3 linked regions of the Tamandua tetradactyla genome follow. The protein of the gene in region 3 interacts with the protein of the main gene of each other region in a pairwise test. Links are inferred from orthologs where the notes say so. Each region holds a gene or a part of one and is shown on either strand. Other genes may lie near its edges.

The links.
Region 1: the proteins of PSTPIP1 (region 3) and PCDHB14 interact in binary tests that used the Homo sapiens proteins (3 or more experiments, as listed by UniProt). The two-hybrid records come from large-scale screens. The link is inferred for Tamandua tetradactyla from reciprocal best matches to the Homo sapiens genes PSTPIP1 and PCDHB14.
Region 2: the proteins of PSTPIP1 (region 3) and LSM4 interact in binary tests that used the Homo sapiens proteins (3 or more experiments, as listed by UniProt). The two-hybrid records come from large-scale screens. The link is inferred for Tamandua tetradactyla from reciprocal best matches to the Homo sapiens genes PSTPIP1 and LSM4.

The regions. Positions count from the first base shown.
Region 1 is NC_135346.1:21,271,364-21,278,344, forward strand, and holds PCDHB14 (protocadherin beta-14), read left to right. Parts: upstream 1-1,867; 5' UTR 1,868-2,077; coding exon 2,078-4,459; 3' UTR 4,460-6,979; downstream 6,980-6,981. UniProt on the Homo sapiens protein: Potential calcium-dependent cell-adhesion protein. May be involved in the establishment and maintenance of specific neuronal connections in the brain.
Region 2 is NC_135337.1:96,201,161-96,208,141, reverse strand, and holds the start of LSM4 (U6 snRNA-associated Sm-like protein LSm4), read right to left. Parts: upstream 3,758-6,981; 5' UTR 3,647-3,757; coding exon 3,644-3,646; intron 1,226-3,643; coding exon 1,184-1,225; intron 1-1,183. UniProt on the Homo sapiens protein: Plays a role in pre-mRNA splicing as component of the U4/U6-U5 tri-snRNP complex that is involved in spliceosome assembly, and as component of the precatalytic spliceosome (spliceosome B complex).
Region 3 is NC_135340.1:89,854,778-89,861,758, forward strand, and holds the start of PSTPIP1 (proline-serine-threonine phosphatase-interacting protein 1), read right to left. Parts: upstream 3,963-6,981; 5' UTR 3,806-3,962; coding exon 3,770-3,805; intron 3,377-3,769; coding exon of another isoform or gene 3,220-3,376; intron 3,062-3,219; coding exon of another isoform or gene 2,727-3,061; exon of another isoform or gene 2,694-2,726; intron 1-2,693. Other genes in the region: uncharacterized protein LOC143656381, read left to right, coding at 2,727-3,061, 3,220-3,376, 6,252-6,310, 6,488-6,630. UniProt on the Homo sapiens protein: Involved in regulation of the actin cytoskeleton. May regulate WAS actin-bundling activity. Bridges the interaction between ABL1 and PTPN18 leading to ABL1 dephosphorylation.

The sequences.
Region 1 (6,981 bases), on a different chromosome or scaffold from region 3:
GCACGTGGCTGGCACCATCTGGTACTTGCTCCCGGTTCGTTGCTTTCAGCTTCTGATTCCAGTGGTTTTTCTCTCTAAACATCTGTGGAACCTTTCTTAACATTTCTGGGGCAAACTCTGGATTTCATTTCTCTGCTCAGCCTCTCCAAACATCTGTGTCTGGTTTCATCTCTCTGCTCTGTGTCGGCCCTCCAAGCATCTCCAGCTCTGAGCTCTCTGTGTCCACTCTTTTAAGGATTCCAGTAAACTGGTTAAAACCCACCTTGAATGGGTGGGGCCACGCCTCCATGGAAATAATCTAATCAAGATTATTATCGCCCGTGGTGATTCTTCCCCCACAAGACTGGATTAGAAGAATGTGGTTTTTCTGGGATACATGGCAGTTTCAAAACAGCATAGTTTCCGAATCTATGCTCCTTATAATAATGATGCAGCCACCAAGATGCAAGATATCTTTTCTATGTATTTCTCTATTACTCTTTACCCATGCATGCATTTATAACATATCTTAACTACTGACCTGTCAACTTTTTCTAGTTTGTGAGACCTATAAAGACAAGGATTATATTTTTTCATGTCATATCCTTACAGCTATTTTTGTGACTTGAAACTTAGAAAGTATTTGAATATCTGATGATTGGAAATATAAGTAAATGTATTTAAAATTATGCCTTTGGTATTATGCAAGGACAAATTCTATTCTGAAATTTGGCTCAACTTAATTTAGCAACTAAATAAATTACAATGTATAAGTAATCATTTCACAGATTTTCAGAAATGGAAACTAAATACTCTTGTGATAATATTTCTTATTATGGTAATATTTAGGTCTTGCTTATCTCTCTCCTGCTCTCAGGGGATCTCCTCTGCATATCTTCAATGATATAATGCTCTGCTTCCCATAGGAAATATTCTCAATCCCTTCAACAACAATACACATATACTCTGTGTAAGGCCAGTCTCAATTTCACTTGCTATACAAACACCTGTCAGGAGTTAGAGGAATACACTATAGGTATTCTTGGGTGCACACCTCCATTTTCCCTAAGTACTCACTTCCCATGAAACAAGTCCTGGTCTAGATTACCAGTTATTTGTTACTTGTTCCATGTTTTCATTTAAAAATGTTATAAGCTTTTGAAGAACATGGAACATGTTTTATAGCTCTTAACATATACCACAAATTAATGTATTATTGTGATATAATGTGAAAAATGATTTTACTTACATTTAAGTTGGTAGATTCACAGATGGTCTTTATAGACAAATATAAAGAGCATGGCATTTCCTCTTAGAAAGCAGATTGAGGATCAACCTAGGGAAAGAGACTTTTTCTTAACTGTGTACCATTTTCTGATGTTTGAATTTTTAACCTACACATGTTTTTAAAACATAAAAATGAAAAAGTAATGACATTACTAACTGTATATGACTGAACTCAACAAGCATTTATAGGAGAATATTTGTGATTACTCAATAAATGGCCTGAATAAAACATTCCATTAGCCAGGGCATTTTAATGGATCCTTATTGCCAGGCATTCAAAAAAGCAATAATCAAATGCAGTGTATTGTCCTTGTTTGGAATCACATTCAATCGAACCAACAGTAGAAAGACATTTTTGAGGAAAATGGAGAAAATCAAACATTCTAAGTATATTAAGGAGTAATTGCTAAATTTGTTGGTTGAAATAGAGATACTTGATTCTATTTTAAAAATCCTTTTCTATTAGAGAATACTGAAACATTTAGAGGTAAAATATATGATGTCTAGGATTTGTTTTAAAATATGCCAGATGTATTTATGAATTACTTGCTCAAAGAGAAAAAACTGATAATGAAAAAAATTCGTAGAGACACATGGTGGCGCTGCAGGATAAGATGAAAAACAAAGCATGGCAGATACTGTGGGTTCAATGTTAAGTTCAACAGAGAACAGAGAGCATTGGGTCCACTGAAAACAGAGTATCAGTGGAGTTTCACCTACAGAGCTGCTGGAGGGTTATATACCTTCCAGGGTTTTTTTTTGTGTTTGTTTTTGTCTTTTTTTCCCACTCAAGAGGTTGCCTGCAGGAACCATGGAAACCAGAGGGGTGCTGGCTCTGCGGAAAAGGCAAGTCCTTATTCTCTTTGTTTTGTTGGGATTGTCTCGGGCAGGTCCTGAATCTGGGCGTTATTTTGTGGCAGAGGAAACAGAAATTGGTTCTTTTGTGGCCAATCTGGCAAGGGACCTGGGGCTGAAAGCAGACCAGCTGTCCTCACGGGAAGCCCGGGTAGTGTCTGATGATAATAAAAAGCATTTGCACCTTGATTTGCTGACTGGGGATTTGCTCTTAAATGAGAAACTGGACCGAGAAGAGCTATGTGGCTCTTTTGAGCCCTGTGTTGTGCATTTTCAGGTGTTAATGAAAAACCCTTTACAGTTTTTCCGGGCTGAGCTGCACATCAAAGATATAAATGATCATTCCCCTACATTTCTGGACAAAGAAATACTTTTGAAAATATCAGAAAGTACCACTATTGGAACCACATTCCTAATGGAAAGTGCTCAAGATTTGGACGTAGGAAGCAACAGTCTCCAAAACTACACAATTAGCTCTAATTCTCATTTCTACATTAAAATTCGAGAGAGCAGTGATGGGAAGATATACCCAGAGCTGGTCCTGGACAAAGCGTTAGATCACGAGGAGGAGCCTGAGTTCAGATTAACACTCATAGCGCTGGATGGCGGGTCCCCGCCCAGATCTGGGACAACCTTGGTTCTCATCAAGGTCTTGGACATCAACGACAATGCCCCTGAGTTTGCTCAGAGTCTGTATGAGGTGCAAGTCCCGGAGGACACACCGCCCGGCTCACGAGTTACCACCATCTCTGCTACCGACCTGGATGCAGGGAATTATGGGAAAATATCTTACACATTTTTTCACGCATCGGAAGACATTCGCAAAACATTCGAAATCAATTCAATATCTGGGGAAATTAATTTGAAATCACACCTGGATTTTGAAGTAATACAAACCTACACTATAAATATCCAGGCAACAGATGGTGGAGGTCTTTCAGAAAAATGCACCCTTCTGGTTAAAGTAATAGATATAAATGACAATCCACCGGAAGTAACCATGTCGTCAGTTACAAACAGTATTCCAGAGAACGCTCCAGAGACCCTCGTCGCTGTTTTTAGCGTCCGTGATCAAGACTCTGGAGACAATGGGAGAACGGTTTGCTCTATTCAGGACGACCTCCCCTTTTTCCTGAAACCAACCTTCAAAAATTTTTTCACTTTGGTTACTGAAAAAGCACTGGATAGAGAGTCGACAGCTGAATACAACGTCACCATCACTGTCACCGACCTGGGGACCCCCAGGCTGAAAACCCAGCACAGCATAACCGTGCGCGTCTCCGACGTCAACGACAACGCGCCCACCTTCACCCAGACCTCCTACACCCTGTACGTCCGCGAGAACAACAGCCCCGCCCTGCACATCGGCAGCGTCAGCGCCACCGACAGGGACTCGGGCCCCAACGCCCAAGTCACCTACTCGCTGCTGCCGCCCCAGGACGCGCGGCTGCCCCTGGCCTCCCTCGTCTCCGTCAGCGCCGACCACGGCCAGCTGTTCGCGCTCAGGGCCCTGGACCACGAGGCCCTGCAGGCCTTCGAGTTCCGCGTGCGCGCGGCCGACGCGGGCTCCCCGGCGCTGAGCAGCGAGGCGCTGGTGCGCGTGCTGGTGCTGGACGACAACGACAACGCGCCGTCGGTGCTCTACCCGCGCCACAACGGCTCGGCGCCCTGCACCGAGCTGGTGCCCAGGGCGGCCGAGGCGGGCTACCTGGTGACCAAGGTGGTGGCGGTGGACGGCGACTCGGGCCAGAACGCCTGGCTGTCCTACCAGCTGCTCAAGGCCACGGAGCCCGGGCTGTTCGGCGTGTGGGCGCACAACGGCGAGGTGCGCACCGCCAGGCTGCTGAGCGAGCGCGACGCGCCCAGGCACAGGCTCGTCGTGCTGGTCAGGGACAACGGCGAGCCGCCGCGCTCGGCCACCGCCACGCTGCACGTGCTGCTGGTGGACGGCTTCTCCCAGCCCTACCTGCCGCTCCCGGAGGCGGCCCGGGCCCGCGCCCAGGCCGACTCGCTCACCGTGTCCTTGGTGGTGGCGCTGGCCGCGGTCTCGTCGCTCTTCCTGCTCTCGGTGCTGCTGTTCGTGGCGCTGCGGCTGTGCGCGAGGCCCAGGGCGGCGTCGGGGCCCGAGGGCCACTTTCCCGGGCACTTGGTGGACGTGAGCGGCACCGGGACCCTGTCGCAGAGCTACCAGTACGAGGTATGCGTCATGGGAGACTCTGTAAGTGAAGAGTTCAAATTTCTGAAGCCAATTATCCCCAACGTCTCAGTCCAAGACCCTGTTAAAAATACGGGGGAAACCGCCTACATCCGGAATAGTTTTGGATTCAACATTCAGTAAAACAAAAATTTAAATTACTTTTATCCTTGAATTTTCTTGGCATGCAAACTGTTGATATTTTTTGTTGATCTGTAATGGATTTTAGGTTGTATTATAATTGCATTTGTCATCATTTCTTGCTCTCCTTACATTTATTTTTAAAATATCAGTGGCTATGAGGAAATGGAAATATGAATCAGCATTTTGTTGTTGTATTAACTTGCTTCAAAAGGTTGTATTAAGGGGCTATTGTTATTTTTGTTGTGTAATTATATGGTTATTAGGTCAGATTATGTTCTTAGTAACTGGATATGCATACTGAAGTATTTAAGAATGAATGTCAGTATGTGTAATTGATAAAGAAAAAAACACAGATAAAGCAAAATTCCAAAATACTATCCATTATTCGTTATCTGGAAGTTTTTACCATAAAAAGTATTTAAAAAAGAGATGCTACCTTTGCATATTCCATACTGGAGAACATTTTGTTGTTATACATGGGTAAGAGCTGACTTCATAACGAAATAAAATTGGAAATTATTGATTTGTTAAGCATGTAATTTTTTTCTTTACATATTTTTGCTATTGTTGTTATTGTTGTAGGGGAGGAGTCTTATAATGCTGTGGGCCTTTATATGCTATTTTGTTTCATTTAAATGTACGATGTTTAGTAACTTAAAATTACTATTATTTTATATTGTTTATTACTAAGTAACCTGAATGTAGTTCATGATTTCATTCTAATGAATAACCTTCATTAGAAGAATACAAGATGAAGACTTCTTTAAAAATTGAACTGAAAATCCAAACTGTTAAGATGACTTAGGCTGACTTTCCTATTCATTCTGAAGAGTGAATATAAAATATCCTTAATACTTTGTGACCTAACGCAGATATCTAAAAGATGGAATGTTTCTTACAAGTTATATATGACTCATCTGTGTGACAAATTACAATGTCTCATTTACAAGTGGCAATTGAATGGAAGATTATAGGTAGTAGAGATTTTGCTAACTGGACTATAGTGTGCATTTATGGCTAGTGTGTAATACACTTCTGCATGTGCTCTCATAAAACTAAATAAAACAGACTAGATGATGTAGTAAAATGGAACTGCACTTGCAATTGTGAAGTGGATGGAACAAATTCTGATTTCTTTAGGCATCTTTTTTACCCTGATTCATGCAATTTTGACTGGTTTGTGTTGCAACAAGTATTTACTAGTTGTGAGAACTTCATGTAAATAGACATTTAAATAATAAAAATCCTTAAAAAGAATATTTGGGCCCTCTTTATAACTTGGAACCACTAGAAGCAAAATCATACCCGTGAAAGTCACTGGAAGGTTTAATGGGTAAATACTGCTGAAAGAAAGAAGAGTCGGAAGAATAGAATAAGAAGATAGAAAAAAATGAGATGGAAAAAAGGATTAAGATCATCGTTTCTTTTCCCCCAACATCACCCAACTAGAAATGAAATTTTAAAATAGTAACAAAACCTAATATTTCTAGGAATTAGTCTAACAAAGAATGCAGAAATACTTTATGGAAAAAAAATGAAGTCAATACATTATTAAATGAAATAATTAAATAACTGAATAAATTGAGAAAGATAGAGGTTTCTTGACAGAGTAACTTAACATGACACCTATCTATTCTTCCCAAAATAATGTATAAATTCAATGCAATTTTTAATATTGACATAGAAGAAAAATTTCATGAAGAGCTAAGACAATTTTTATAAAGCAGTGGGAATGCCTTACCCTATAGATATAAGAACACATTACAAATATGAGGTAAATAAATCTATTTGAATGATTCAGGAACAGACTAGTTGTACCACCATATAGAATAGAATAAAGAGTCAAGTCTGTTTATATAAAAGAACTTGGTCTTCATAGAAGATGTGTCAAAATCACTGGTGAGAAAACTGATTACCTAGCAAAGGTTATTGGAAAAGCTTACATAAGAAAAAAATCCCTATTGCATGTCATATAAAAGTAAACTTCATATGGATCTAAGAGCTGAATTTGAAATATTTGAATTACAAAAAAAATTAATCAAGGCAAATATAACTTTATGACCTTAAGATTGGTTTGAATTTATTAAGCAAAGCTGCTGTAAAAGTACAAACCATAAAGACAAAAATTGATGAATGTGCCAAGAGATGGAAATGGCCCAAATGTCCATCAGTGGATGGGTGGCTAAACAAGCTGTGGTATATACATACAATGGAATATTATGCAGCTGTAAAGCACAATAAAGTCATGAAACATGTAACAACATGGATAAACTTTGTAGATCTTATGCCGAGTGAAATTAGCCAGATACAAAACGACAGATACTCTATGGTCTCACTATTATGAACTAAGATTAATGAGAGAACTTTGAGAGTTGAAGTTAAGAACACTGGTTATCAGGAGATAGACATTGAACAGAGATTGGACATTTGGTGGTGAAGGAGCACAGATTATACAGCAGGACTGATTGCAAAATTTCAGAAACAGATAGCACAATACTACCTGACTGTAGAACAATAACATA
Region 2 (6,981 bases), on a different chromosome or scaffold from region 3:
CTAAATGCCGCTGAGTTACTTCAAACAGGTGAACGCACTGAACGTGGACTCAAGTGCCATCAAGCTGTTCCGTATAAAAAAATCTACTTAAGATGGCCAACCAACAAAAGGGACACTGCAGCACAGAGGGCACGGGGTGGACAAGGGCAGGGACAGGGGCCGCAGGAGGGGAAGACAGGACAGCAAGTTCCCATCTCACAGGGGGAGCTGAGGGCTGGCAGGTAGCTGGTGCCAGTAGGGTTGGCTGGGGGGAGAAAGGAAGCCAGCAGGCAAGAGGGGACAGGCGACCCGTCAATCCTGCACCTCAGAATGCGCCCCGAACTGAAAGCTGGGACGTGAACAGACATCCCACAATGGCGTCCACAGCAGCACCGTGCATAACTGCCAAAAGGCGGACGCAACCCAAGTGCCCACACCAGGAGCAGGCAAGCACAATGTGGTAGCACAATGGGCGTGCCGCTAAGCCCAGAAAAGGACGTCCTGGAGCACGCGACAATACGGAAGAGCCTGGGGGGCACTGGGCAGCCTGAAAGCAGCCAGACACATAAGGGCAAGTGCTGTATGACCTCACTTACACGGAAGAATTAGAAGTAAACTCAGAGGCTCAGATCAGGAATAGAGGCTGCGAGGGGACAACCGGGCGCAGGGAGCGGGAGCCAAGGCTTAAAGCTTAGTATAGGGCTCCTACTTGGAGCAATGGGTGCGTTCTGGTGGGGGAGGGAAGGGACAGCAGCACAACCGCAAATGCAATTGACAGCGCTGAGACGTGGACGCGAGCACGGTTTAAGGGAAGTGCAGGGCTGTACGCACGGCAACAGAAAACAGCCGTTCAGGGAAACCCATGCGTCTGCACCCCACAGGCTGTGGTCCCTAAGAGCGGACTACACTGAACTGGTCACCCAAGGAGACGGAGACGCAGGGGGCCCGAGCGGCTCACAGTGAAACGTCCCCTCAACAGCTGTGACTTTACGGACTGTGAATGAAACACCAACGAGAACCCCACAAGTGGAAAGGTCGTGTGACGTGGACAGGTGCCCCACCGAGCACTGAGGACAGAAGCCATCTTGGGCGACATGCCCCCCACGAGCCCATCTGGACACGGCAGAACCGCGGCCCCTGTGTCCACACATATCCAGGCCCGCACAGAGCCTGCGTCACCTCCAACCCCCAAACACGCACTCACCATGGGGTGGTTCTGCGCCGTCTTCAGCAGCGACAGGGGGAGCTGAAAGGCAAGCAGAAGCCGTGATTTGGGCTGCTGGGGCTGCACCTGGGGCAGATCCTACGCCACCCTCATCCCCACCCCACCTGCGTTCCACGGGGTCCCCAGGAGCCAGTCCGTCCCACAGAGCCACCATCTGCTCAACACCCCGGCAGCTCCCGCTGCACCTGCCTCATGGGGACAAGACCCAGGAGCTGGCCCAGGGCTAGAGCCAGGGAGCAGCAAAGCTGCGGCTGACCCCATGCCTGAAGCCAGTGCCACCAAACGCCACGCCAAAGGACAGCCGGGACTGGACCAAAACCCTGCCGGGCCCCGCTGGTGACACCTGAGCTGGGTTTGCAAAGAGGAGAACTCACCAGGTGAGAGGGAACATTCCAGAAAAGCCTGTGGGTATTGCAAATTCACCACAAAGAAAGGATGAGCTCTCTAGAGACATATCCAGATCCACTAAGTACTCAAGATACTCAATTTCTTTTACCATCATTAGAGATCTTTTTTACAGTTACATATATGATTTTTACGATGGGAAAAAAATTAAAGCCAGCTCTTTTCATTGTCGAGACAACAACCACGGAGGGCAGACTGTGGCTCTGTGTGGCGGCTGGTGCACAAGGAAAACGAGAACTGTCTCCCAGGGAGGCTGGAGACTTCCCTGTGACCCGACTTAGCCTCCCCTCCTGAGAAGCTCCCTCCAGGGACACTCTGGGGTCCACAGGACCCTGTTTTTCCAGGTGGGGGGACACGCAGGCCTCTACTGAGGGGAGACGTGGGACTGCCCGGCTATCCCAAGGAACCACCAGGGAAGGCCTGGTGCTAGCAGGAAGCCAGGCCCACGTCCACTTCCTCACCCGGTTTCCTGGAAGGGCAAGATAAGGGGAAAGGACGGCTGCATGGTGTGGGGCCACGCCCAGAACGCCTCTGGGTGGCTTGGGGGAGTCCCCGAGGGAAAAGGGGCCTCAGGCTGGTTTGTGTGGGCTGTACAACAGGTGGGTCATGACCTCCTGAAGCGGGGGCTTGCTCAAGCCTGTTGGACCCAGTCTGGGGAAAGGCCTGGGTGTCCGGTGCAGACCCCGGTTTGCATGTGACCCTGGGAGCACCCGACGGTGACCATGGACATCCTCATACGGTGGACACAACCTCTGCACCCAGGGTCAGGACGGCCCTGGAGGACCCTGCAGCCCCTCCCCACAAAGCAGTGCCTGAGACATCTGCCACGGCCCCCCCAGAGGCTTCTGCTCATCTAGCAGAAAACACTTGCCCTGACCTGCTCCTGTCTGCACACCATGCCCACTCTGCCTGGCGACCTTTGCCCCCATACCTCCCTGGGCGTCCTGATACCGCCCCTGCCCCGGGCCTGTTTCCAGGACAGGACTCAGCCAGTCTCTTCTTCTGTTTATTTATTATAACTCCCTGGCGAGTCCCCTGCTGGCCTGGAAAATTTTAAGGGAGTGTGGACTTGGTCCATACCCAGGGCCTGTCCCTGCCTCACAGATGAGGCGGCGTCAGGACTGGGAGGTGCCCCGGTCAAAGCCGGTCCAGGCCACGACAGAGCCCTCTGCCAGCCTTCCACATTCTCAGCCCCAAACTGCTGGAGAGAAGGCAGGGGTGAGAGACTGGTCCTCAGGGGCGTGACACCCCAGGGAGAGGAAGATGCACCAGATGCCACCAGGAGGAGAAAGGGCCACTCTGGCCCTCCCGTTATGACTGCCATGCAGACCTCAGGCATAAAGCCACGGAGGGCTGGTCCGAGTGGCCTCTCACCCAGGAAGCCTTCCGGGACCCCCACAGGGGGCCGTGATTCCCTTCTCGGGCTCCCCCGGGGCCCAGCCCCGTATGAGGGGAGCGTCTCTATGGGTCTGCTCTGGGAGCACGGAACCTCCCGTAGGGCCAGGAGTCGAGGACCCCGGCGGCCCATTTCCAGGAGATAGCCCTGAACACCCACGCTTCGCACAGGCTCCAAGGAGACACTACAGATGGGAACGAAGGGCGGCCCCACGGGGCTGAGGCCTCGCGGACCCCTCCTCCGGGTCCTGCCGGCCAGCGGGATGCGGCGCAGGTCTCCCCAGCGCGGCGCTGGTTGTACACCGGACCTCGGGCCGGACGGAGAGCGCGCCACGAGCCCTGCGCGGCCTCCCTTCTTCCCCGGTGCGCCGGGACAGGCGGAGCGGAAGCCTGGCCTCGGGCCCTGTTCCCCGGCCCAGGACGGTGCGGGACGGGCCGCGGCGGAGCCTGGAATGCGCCGCACGGCTGAGCGGGGGTGCTCTGCCCGGCCCGCGCTCCCGGCGCGCGGCCGGCCTCAGTTTCCCCGCCTGCGCCGGGGGCGGGGCTCGGGCCCCGAGGCATGCGCGCCCCCGGATCCCCGCGGCCCCGGTCGTCGCGACCCCACTTCCCGGCGAGGCCCCGCCGCCGGCCTGCCCTCACCATGGTGCCAGCGGGGACCCGGCCAGCCAGCCACTTCCGTCGCCGCTCGCGCTCCCGCCGGCTGCCGTTCCGCCGCGCGCCACCAGGCCGAAGAGGAGTGGCGGCGGCGCGAGCCAATCAACACAGGGCCCTGGGCCCGGGTAACCAATCCTCGGGCAGAGCGGCGGCTTCTGGGCACGAGGGCGGGGCGGGGGCGACTTCCCGTCTGAGGAGAAAAGGCTGCGGCCGAAAAGCGCGGCGGCGAGGGCTGCAAAGGGGGGCGGGGCAGCGCGCGGCGGCGCAGGAGGCCTTGTGGTTAGTGACGCATGCGCCGTGCGACGCTCACGCGGGCTCCCGAGCTCCACGTGGTGGGCAGCGGTTGTCACTGCCGGCGGCGGGCGGCTGGGCGGCTGCGGCCCCGGCCCGGGGGGGACAGGAGCGGGCCTGATGGCCCCCATTGTGGTTGTTACTTAATGAGGGCCTTGCGCTGGTTGGAATCCCGACGGCGCCCCTCCGAGCCTCAGTGTACCGCCTGTGAGATAGGGATAATAGTAGCCACTCTACGGGGCGCGGGGAGGACGGATTGCCGGGCCGGGAAAGCGCTCTGCCCGTGGGCGTGCAACCCGTCACCCCCGAGCACCTGCTCCGCCCCTGCTCGTGGAGACGCGGAAATGCTCAAACCTGGCAACCCCCCCTCCTAGGAACCAGTCCCGGGAGCCCGGGGAGCCCGGGGAGCAGGCGGGTGGATTCAGGCCCAGGGCTGCAGGACGGATTCCCGCACACTTGGGGACTTTCATCGCAGTTGGTCTCACAGCTGGGGAGCCCGGAGGCGGGAGGGAGCAGGCCTGCTCCACGCCCCTCTCCCAGCCCCCGGGGGCCGCCGGCCATCCCCCATGTCCTGGCTGCCCCACTTCACGTGGCCTTCTCCCTTTCCTCTCTTGTAAGGACAACTGTCCTGGGGTTTAGGGCGCACGCTAATCCAGGGTGACTCCTGGCAACCCTTAGCTTAGTGACATCTGCAAAGGCCCCATTCCTAAATCAGGCACACGCGCAGGTACCCGAGCCAGGAGGTAGGTGCATCTTGGGGCCACAGCTCAACCCGCAGCACCTGTTACTAAAGAAAAGCAGGGGGGTCTCTGCCCGATGCACCCAATGGCCAACTCCTTCACCGTGAAAGAGAGAATGTGTTGCTAAGCGTGAAGTAGATCAGGAAGTCTATCTCCCCGGGTCTAAGGAGTTGGATATTTTATGGATTCAAATAATGAAAGATGGAGTGTGTTTCGGTTTGCTAAAGCTGCTGAAATGCGATATACCAGAAATGGGTTGGCTTTTGCGACGGGATTTATTAGGTTACAAATTTATGGTTCTAAGGCCGTGAAAATGGCTTCAAGAGAAAGATCCCCAGGGCCACCGTGGCTCAGCAGGCAGACTGCTCGCCTGTCATGCCAGAGGATCCGGGTTCGATTCCCGGTGCCTGCCCATTAAAAAAAAGAGAGAAAGAGAAAGATCCCTTCTCCGAGAAAAGGCTGCTGGCGTGGGGAATTCTTCTTTCATGTGGGAAGGCACGTGATCAGTCTGCTGGTCCATCTCCAAAATGTCTCTGGGCGTTTCTCTCTTAGTTTCTCCTGGGGGGGGGGGTTCTTTCTGAAATCGCCCCCCTGAGCGCTCTTAAAGGACTCCAGTAAAGGATGGAGACCCTTCGGAAATGGGCTTGGGCCACGTCTGAATTAAAGTAGCGTGACCGAAAGGTCACACCACTGTAGGTCTGCTCCACAAGAATGCATTAAAGCAGTGTGTGTCTTTTCTGGGGTACAGAACAGTTATCTTCACAGCAGCGAGTATGAACAATGGCTGGGTCAAGGCCAAAACAATCACAATAGTAAGGGCACACAAAGGCTGGAACGAGTTCAGTCACTTCCAGCAATTTCAGGTATTAACTTTTGGTCATTCTACACCATAGAAGGAAAAAAGCATCAATATAATGATTCAGGAATCATTTACTCATTTTTAAATTCTAGGTTGTATCTCCTTCCTCTTGCTTCTCCATTTCCTCAGTCTTGCGGGATAGCTGGACAAAGACGATTCTAACTTTTTTTTTTTTCTGTTTTTTTAATTTATTTTTAATATTTTTTAATTTTTTTATTTTAACATTTGTTCCCCCTATTATTTGTTTATATTCCATATGTTCTACTCGTCTGTTGACAGGGTAGATGAAAGGAGCATCAGACACAAGGTTTTCACAATCACACAGTCACATTGTGAAAGCTATATCATTATTCAATCATCCTCAAGAAACATGGGTACTGGGACAAACAGCTGTACGTTTTCAGGCAGTTCCCTCCAGCCTCTCCATTACATCTTGAATAACAAGGTGATATCTACTTAATGCGTAAGAATAACCTCCAGGATAACCTCTCAACTCTGTTTGGAATCTCTCAGCCACTGACACTTTATTTTGTCTCATTTCTCTCTTTCCCCTTTTGGTAGAAAAGGTTTTCTCAATCCCTTGATGCTGAGTCTCAGCTCATTCTAGGATTTCTGTTCCACGTTGCCAGGAAGGTACACACCCCTGGGAGTCATGTCCCACGTAGAGAGGGGGAGGGTGGTGAGCTTGCTTGTTGTGTTGGCTGGAGAGAGAGGCCACGTGTGAGCAACAAAAGAGGCTCTCTTGGGGGTGACTCTTAGGCCTAATTTTAAGTAGGCTTAGTGTCCTTTGTGGGGTAATTTTCATATGAACAACCCCCAAGACTCGGGGCTCAGTTTATAGCTTTGGTTGTCTACACTGCTTGTGAGATATCAAGAATTCAACTTGGGAAGTTGAATTTTCCCCCATTCTCACCATTCTTTGCAAATATTTTTCCACTCACTGATCGAATCACTCTGGGATTTATTGGGGCATCACCTGGACAAACCGACAAAATCTCATGTCCTACCCAAGATTCCAAGTACTTATGGTGTTCAATCAAGCTATCAACATAAGTTACATTAGGAGATGCACTAGTCAAAATATGAATTTTGTACCAAATCAATTCTAACTTCTTGATGCTGGAAAGGGGCACCTGTGTTATGGGGTAGGGGGGTGAGACTGGTTGTTCTGGAGAGACTGGTGCCACTGGGTTCCAGGACTTAACTAGTATAGGAACAATGCAGAGGCTTTAAGTCACAGGAAAGTAAACTTGATAAGTAAAAAGTAAAGGTTTAAATAAAAGGAGTAGAAGGATTGTGATCAGATGGTTTGCACCTATCTCACGTTGGGGAAATAACTACAGAGATTTCAGATAGGACTGGGGTGCTCCATAGGGTTTTGGGGAACACTGGGCAGAATCTGGCTGCAGCCTGTTTGAGACTGACCCCCAGCA
Region 3 (6,981 bases):
CCATGTTTCTTGAAGATGATTGTGTAATGATATAGCTTTTGCAATGTGACTGTGTGATTGTGAAAACCTTGTGTCTGATGCTCCTTTTATCTACGGTATGGACAGATGAATAAAAAATATGGATAAAAAAATAAAGACATAATAGGGGCAACAAAGTTTAAAATAAATTGAGTAGATTGAAATACTAGTGGTCAATGAAAGGGAGTGGTAAGGGGTGTGGCATGTATGAGTTTTTTCTTTCTTTTTCTGGAGTGATGCAAATGCTCAAAAAAATGATCATGGTGATGAATACATAAGTATGTGATGATATCGTAAGCCATTGATTGTACACCATGTGTGAAATGTTTGTAAACTAAGAATGTGTTTGAATGTTGTTGGGTTTTTAACTTTTTTATTGTGTAATATAACATATATCATACATTGTTTTAGCAATAAAAATATTTTAAAAACACCATTATCTAATGCCATCTCTCCCAAGGACATATGGGTCTGAGAAGATGTGGGAGACTGTGGGGCAGGCACAGTTCAGAGCCCTTCTTTGGAAAGAGCTCGAAAACCCCTGGTGGATTGGATGTGGGGGTGAGCTCAGGGGTATGGCTTGGCCCACCTGCTAGAGAACCCAACTCAAAAAATGTGTATAGAACACAGCTGATGTGCAGTGAAGGAGAAGATGGGATCAGGAGGGCGGGTGGGCCATGAAACGGGGCCCCCCACTATTCATTCATCTTCTCCACAAACACTTACTGAGCACACACTCTGCATGCAGACAGACTTTTCTTCCAGCCCCACTTGGCTGCCTGCTGGGACTCTGTCTCCTCTAGACTTCCGAGCCCCTTAGACTAAGCGCTAGTCTAAAACCCTCCCACTCAGATGCCCGAGCTTCTCAGCCTCATCCTTGTCCTGCTGGCAGGCCCCACTCCGAGGCTCTGCCACAAACTTCCTGTAAGGCGGTGACACTCTTTATCACTTGTCTGTGTATAACAGAGATCAAATTATTCCTTTCCTCCCCCTGCTTCGAGTCCACTCCACCTCACTCCCACGCTGACCTGCTGCAGATAAAAGCTGGCTATAGATAAACACTGTGTGGCCGCACGGACAAAATTCCAATACAGGCCTCCTAAGGGACAGAACCCCCACACTGAACGGCCCCACCACTTCTGAACCATTATGTCTGCTTTTCACAATTTTTCCATCTCCTTTCTGGCTATCAGACTATAAGTCATTAGTGAAATTGCCTCTAGAAGCTCAGGTCCCCCAACATTTATGATCACCAGCTACATATCAGATATTGTGCAGACTCCCTCCTGAATGCTGCCTTAGCGGGTTAAAGACTATGCGACCAAGCTTGTTGGAACTGCAAGGAAAATCAGAGTTCACAGGCCCCGACCAAAAGCCGGGGGCTTCTACGAGTAAGCGGTGATGCAAACTGTTAGGGACAGCAGGTTTGGCGACTCAGAAACCACATTTGCTTTCCTCCTTGCCCAATTTCACCCTGTGTTCGGGCCAGAAGCACGTGGTAAATGAAGTGCTGTGGAATGAGACACGCTCCTTCAGGGGTTTCCTTCCATTATTTAAAGCCTAGTGATTGTCAAGCAGTGCTCTGCCGGGCTGCAGGATGAGATGGCATTGCCTCAGGCTGGGGGGCACCGCAGGCTGGGCTCTGCCCCTAACCCACTCCACAGAAACACTGCATTGCAACTGAAATGTAAATGCTCCAAGCACCTAGACGGGCCCTCCTACCCCTCTGGGAGGAAGGAAAGAGAGAATCTATCCCCCATCTTGTGGATGTGGGTGCTGAGGCCCAAGGATCTCCAGGTGGAGGGTAGTCTGGGAGCTGAGAGCCCAGCACCACTGCCAGCCTGGCGGGGTCCGATCCTAGCTGTGGGACAAGAGACTTTGGTTCTCTCAGCCTCAACATCCTCCTCTGAGTGATGAGGATAACAATAGCAGCTACTCCATCAGGTGCTGGGAGGACTGAGTTAAAGTCTACACAGCCCTGAGAACAGCAGCTCACACATTAATAGTGCTCAGGAAATGCTACTGTTATCCCAGATCCCAGGCCAGGCTTAACATCATGGAGAGGTGCTAGAATTCAGAACTTGGGGGCAGGTGGTGCTGACAGTGACTTCTGAGGTTGCGCCCAGGCTTGGAATGGGAGGTACCCCCCCCCACCCCCAGCCTCTTCTTTTCCCCCTCCCTGCTCTGGCCTTCCCTAGGGAGGCGGCACCCTCACCCCAGGCCCAGGGAGTCCGGCATGGAGGAGAGGAGGCCCCTGGAGGCTCACAGCCTCTGGCGGGGGAGGGGGGGGCTCAAGCAGGATGCCACACAGGAAGCTGCCTCCAGGGCCCATTTCTTGCTGCTGCTGGGGCTGCTGCTGCCACACCCTGCTCCCTGACATCCCCTTCCCCCCTCCCCATGCTCACAGCCTACCCTGGGGGCAGCTCCTTGCCCCAGTTCTGCCGCAGGGAAGGTGGGCTCAGGGACTCTGGGCTGGGATAGATTTCCTAGAGAGAACAGTCTGGGTCTGCTGCATTTCCAGGCCCTTTTTCTCCCCAACCTTGCACTCTGGGGCCAGGGCAGCGATATGGTGACTCATTTCCTGGTCCCCGGAACCCCCTGTCCCTCCACCCCTTAGCTGCCAGCTGGGCAGGGAGCACCCTGGGGTTTGGAAGCCAGAGCTGCCTTCACCAGCTTCTCTGAGCTGGCTCCACCCCCTCTTTGTAGAGATGGGTAAACGGAGGTCCAGAGAGAGGCGGGGCGGCCTCCCCGGGCTGGGCCCTCTGCCCGCCCTGCGGCCAGCGCCGGCAGACAGCAGGCTATTCACTCAGCCTGGGGCGCTAAGCACAGCGTGGCCCGGAAGGGGAGGCAGCCAGGCCCGCTGGCTCCGTCCCTCCTGGCAGCTGGCCCCAGGGAAGGGCCCGGGGAGGGCCAGCGAGCCCTGTGAGGGGCGGGCTGGAGCTCTCCTGGGACAGTCACATTCCCGGCTCAAACCACAGAGGCCCCAGCTTCCCCCGCCCCGGGAGCCTCCGAGGACGGCGGAGCAGCAGGGCCCGGGGGAAGGGTGAGCGGCGGCTGCAGAACAGCGAAGGGGCCGGGTGGGGGGCGGGGGGCGGGGCGGCCCGGGCCGGCTGGCCAGGTGATCCGTGTCACCTGCCGGAGCGGGCCAGGTGCCGCAATCCCGTGGCGCCAGGACTTGTTTGATGCCTGCGCTGAATTTAGGAAAGTGAGCAATGAAGGGCCCAGCCCCCTGCTCCTCGGAGCCCGAAAGCCTCGAAGGGAAGAGGCTCTGCGTGCGGGGACCGCTTGTTGTGCCAGCGGGGGCTGGGCCTTCATTGCACAGAATCGCCCCGTTCCCTCCTCCCAGGCCTCTGCACAGGTAGGGAAGCCGGGGCTCTGGGACCTCTAAAGACGTCTTGCACAGACAAAATCTGACCCCAAGTTTTTGTCCGGTCCCCAAAGCTGTGATCCCCCCTTCGCCCCTCAAGCCCTGCACCCCTGCATTAGACTCTCCTAGAAAAGGTCCTGCCGGCGTGGAGAGGGTCTTCCACGTTCACAGACGGGGCGGTGACCCGGGGCACAGCCACGACAACGAGAACCACAAAGTGGTGGCCCCTGCTTTTTTTTTTTTAATGAGAAAAAGCTCCGCGGCGGAAGCCACATCCACGGGAAATTTCGGTGGGGTGGGGGTGGGGCTGGGGTCCTCCCCCTGACCCCCGCCCCGCGCCCCGGGCGGTCTCCACCTGCGCGCGCCCGCGGCGCCTTCACTCACCCAAAAGGCGTCTCTGAACTGCAGCTGGGGCGTCATCCCGGCTGGCGGCGGGGTGGGGGTGCCCGCGCCCCTGTCCCAGTGCCGGCCCCGGAGCCCTCCCAGCCCGCGCGCTCTGCAGCGGCTCCGAGGCGAGGTGCTGCAGGGAGGAAAGGGGCGCCACCTGCTCGCTGCGGGCCACGATCAGCAGCCAAATGAGGAAGGAGCCCATCGCGGGGAGGGCGGTCCCGGGGCGCACCCCGCCCCCGAGCGATCCGCGGCGACCCAGCGCGGGGCAGACCCGGGCGGGGAGCGGGCGCACCCCCGGGGGGAGGCGGCGCGCGGGCCAGGCGGGCAGGCAGCTGAGGCCGCGCCGGAGGGTTTGTGCAACCTCCCCCGGGCGGGCCCCCGGGCCCCCACCCACAGGAAGCGCGGTGCTCTGCAACCCCGCGCCCATCCCGCCGCCACCTGCCACGCTAGACTCCCCAGCCGTCGCCAGCGCACCGCTCAGGAGGGCGCCCCGGGCCTAGGCCGGCCATCGGTCATCAAACCCTGCTGCTCCGGCCAAGCCCTGGCCTCAAGGAGCTCATAGTCCAGACACAGACCCAGCTGGGCCAGAGGGGCGGGGAGGGGGGCAGACGTGGGAGCAGATGGGGTGAGCAGCGTCTAGCCTGAGACCTTATGAGACTGCTCACCACCCCCCCCCCACACCCACCCATGTCTGCAGATTAGACCCTCTCCTGGCATGGAGACCCTTCTGAAGATGGAGTCTAGAGAGAGGAGACAGAGAGAGAGAACTAGAAAGACACAGGGGTGGGAGTTTGAAAACAGGTGGCGGTCCTGTTTGTTTTGTCTGGGCTCTACCCTTCAGTGCTAAGGGACCTTCATCCACTCTCTGATTCCCCGGCCTCAGTTTCCTCATCTGTCACCCCCAGTCTTTGGAAAGGACAGAGTTTGGAGAGCATTTGTGGAATTTTCTGGAATGGTGGGGCAGGTGCTGGGGGCAGAGTCAGGTATGGTGTTGGGAGGAGCCCTGGTCTGGAGCCCAGGCTCAGCCCCAAGGACCCGGCACCCGCCCACCCAGCAGGAGATGCCCGCAGGGAGGCCGGAGCCCCGGCAGTGGCAGAGGGCATGGGTCAGGGGTTCTCCACGAATCCTCAGGCAGATGATAAGACAGAGGAAACTGCTCTGGGGGACTTGGCGAAGCTCCCAAGTACCAGGTACATAGGCCCGGGCTTTGGAGGGCAGGGGTATGTCCCAGAGAGAACGCATGGCACGGGCAGGGGGGAAGAGTCGCCGGGCAGTGGGGCTGGAGCTGCTCTGCCGACCTGGGACACGTCCTCCTTCCACACCCCTGGCCGGGTGAGCTGCTGATCAGCTTCAGCACTGAGGACCCTCCAGTGGGGTTTTCTGTTGTTTGCAGTGAGACAGCTAAGATTGTAAACCTCACCTTGAGCCCCAGAGGCTACAGCAGAGGCTGTGAGTCTCGCCCCAATGCACCATTGCCCTCTTAGCACTGACCCAGTCTCCCTGGGCTCAGTTTCCCCATCCATCAAATGGGATGATACCTCTAATTCCAAAAGTAGTCCGGAAACCCTCTGTTCATAGAGAGCCCTCCACTCTCTTATTGGCAGAAAACTTTGCAGCCAGCCTCCTTCCCCTGCCCCTACTGCCTCCCACAAACTCCAGCTCCCCTCAGGCCTCCTCTCTCTCCGCAAGGGCACCCTTTGCTCTCCCACCCGCACACTTTGCTCCATCGTGCCCTCCCTTCTGGCCTGCCATCCTCAATCTTCCTTACCTGGGCAAACCCTCCCATCCCTCAATGCACCGGAGCCCTTTGACTCTGCTCCACCCCGATGGGTGCTTGCTGGCAGTGGACTGGAGCAACTGGGGGAGGATGTGATAGGAGGAACAAGTGGAAAGATTTTAAAGTTCTCTGCAGAGAGAGGTCCCTCCACCCTGCCCTTTTGCAGCTGGCAACCAGAACAGGCAGCAACTGCTTTGGAGCCCTGATGGTGTGTGCAGTGCACCAATGAGCTTTTTACAGGGCCTGCCTCATTCACTCCTCACCCAAGCCTGCAGGCCGCTCTCTATTCTTATTCCCCATTTCGCAGCCAAGGAAACCAGTGATCAGAGTTTATATGACTCAGCCTCACAGCCGCCAAACCCAGGACTGTCACCTCCAGTTATCTCACACCAACAGGTCTCTGTTAGCAAACGGTTTTGTCCTTCCTTTCTCTAGGGCTGTGCCCAGAACCTGTCACCCCACCTGACGGATGGAAAACCTAGCCCAGGGAGGCTGTTGGGGGTTGGTGGTGCTAAGGGGATGAGAGCCCAGCCTTGGCACCTGGTCTTCCAAGTTCACTGTGGGGTGAGGTTCCTGGCACTGAGGAATTGTACCGTCCCCCTCCCCCGAGGGCTCCGGCGGCAGGACGCCCCCTGGGGGTGTTCTCAGGAATGCAGCTCAGTCTCTTGGCCATTCTCCCCCTTATGTCTCCCTTTTCAGCTGGTCCCCAAGATGCTACAACTGCTCTGGGCTCCAACTCCAGACCAGGCATGTCTTGAGTAAGAAAAGGGGCATCTGCCCTTATGTCTCATTTTCTCCAAGCTCCCAGAAGACCTCCCCTTGTCTCTCGTTGGCCGGAAGTGGGCCACATGCTCATGCTCTGCCACCACTGGCCGCAGGGATGTGAGCCCTCGTTGGGGTGCTATGGGCACTGGCCATCTATCTGCCTACCACAGGTGGCTTCTTTCCACCGAGGCCCACAGACCCGGGCAGCACCCCAGATCAGGCCCTGCCAGGACTGGGGAGCAGAGAGGCCAATCCAGTCTCCACCCCGAGGGGCCCACGGACCAGCCGACAGGTTCTAGAAAGATCTCTTCAGGTGGGAGTGGCTTGGAGAGACAGGCAGAGGAGGGGGTTGTGATAGCTCTCAGAGAGGGACTAGGCCTGGACGGGGCAGCTGGGGTGGGGGTGGGGGTAGCAGAAAGGAGGCGGCTGCATGCCCCTTGGAAACGGGAGCTGTTCTTTGCCCCTACCCTTACCAGCTGCCCTACCCTCAATCCAGCCCCCCAGCCCCCTGGGGTCAGGGTGGGGACAGTCAGCTCCTGAAAAGTACTACTTTTTAGCAACTGTTGCAGCTGCTTCAAGCAAAATTTGCCTTGAGGTCTGGGCAGTTGTGCCTCAAGTCCAGGCTTGTGAGCCCACTTTTTTTTACGGGGTGGGATGGCGGTGG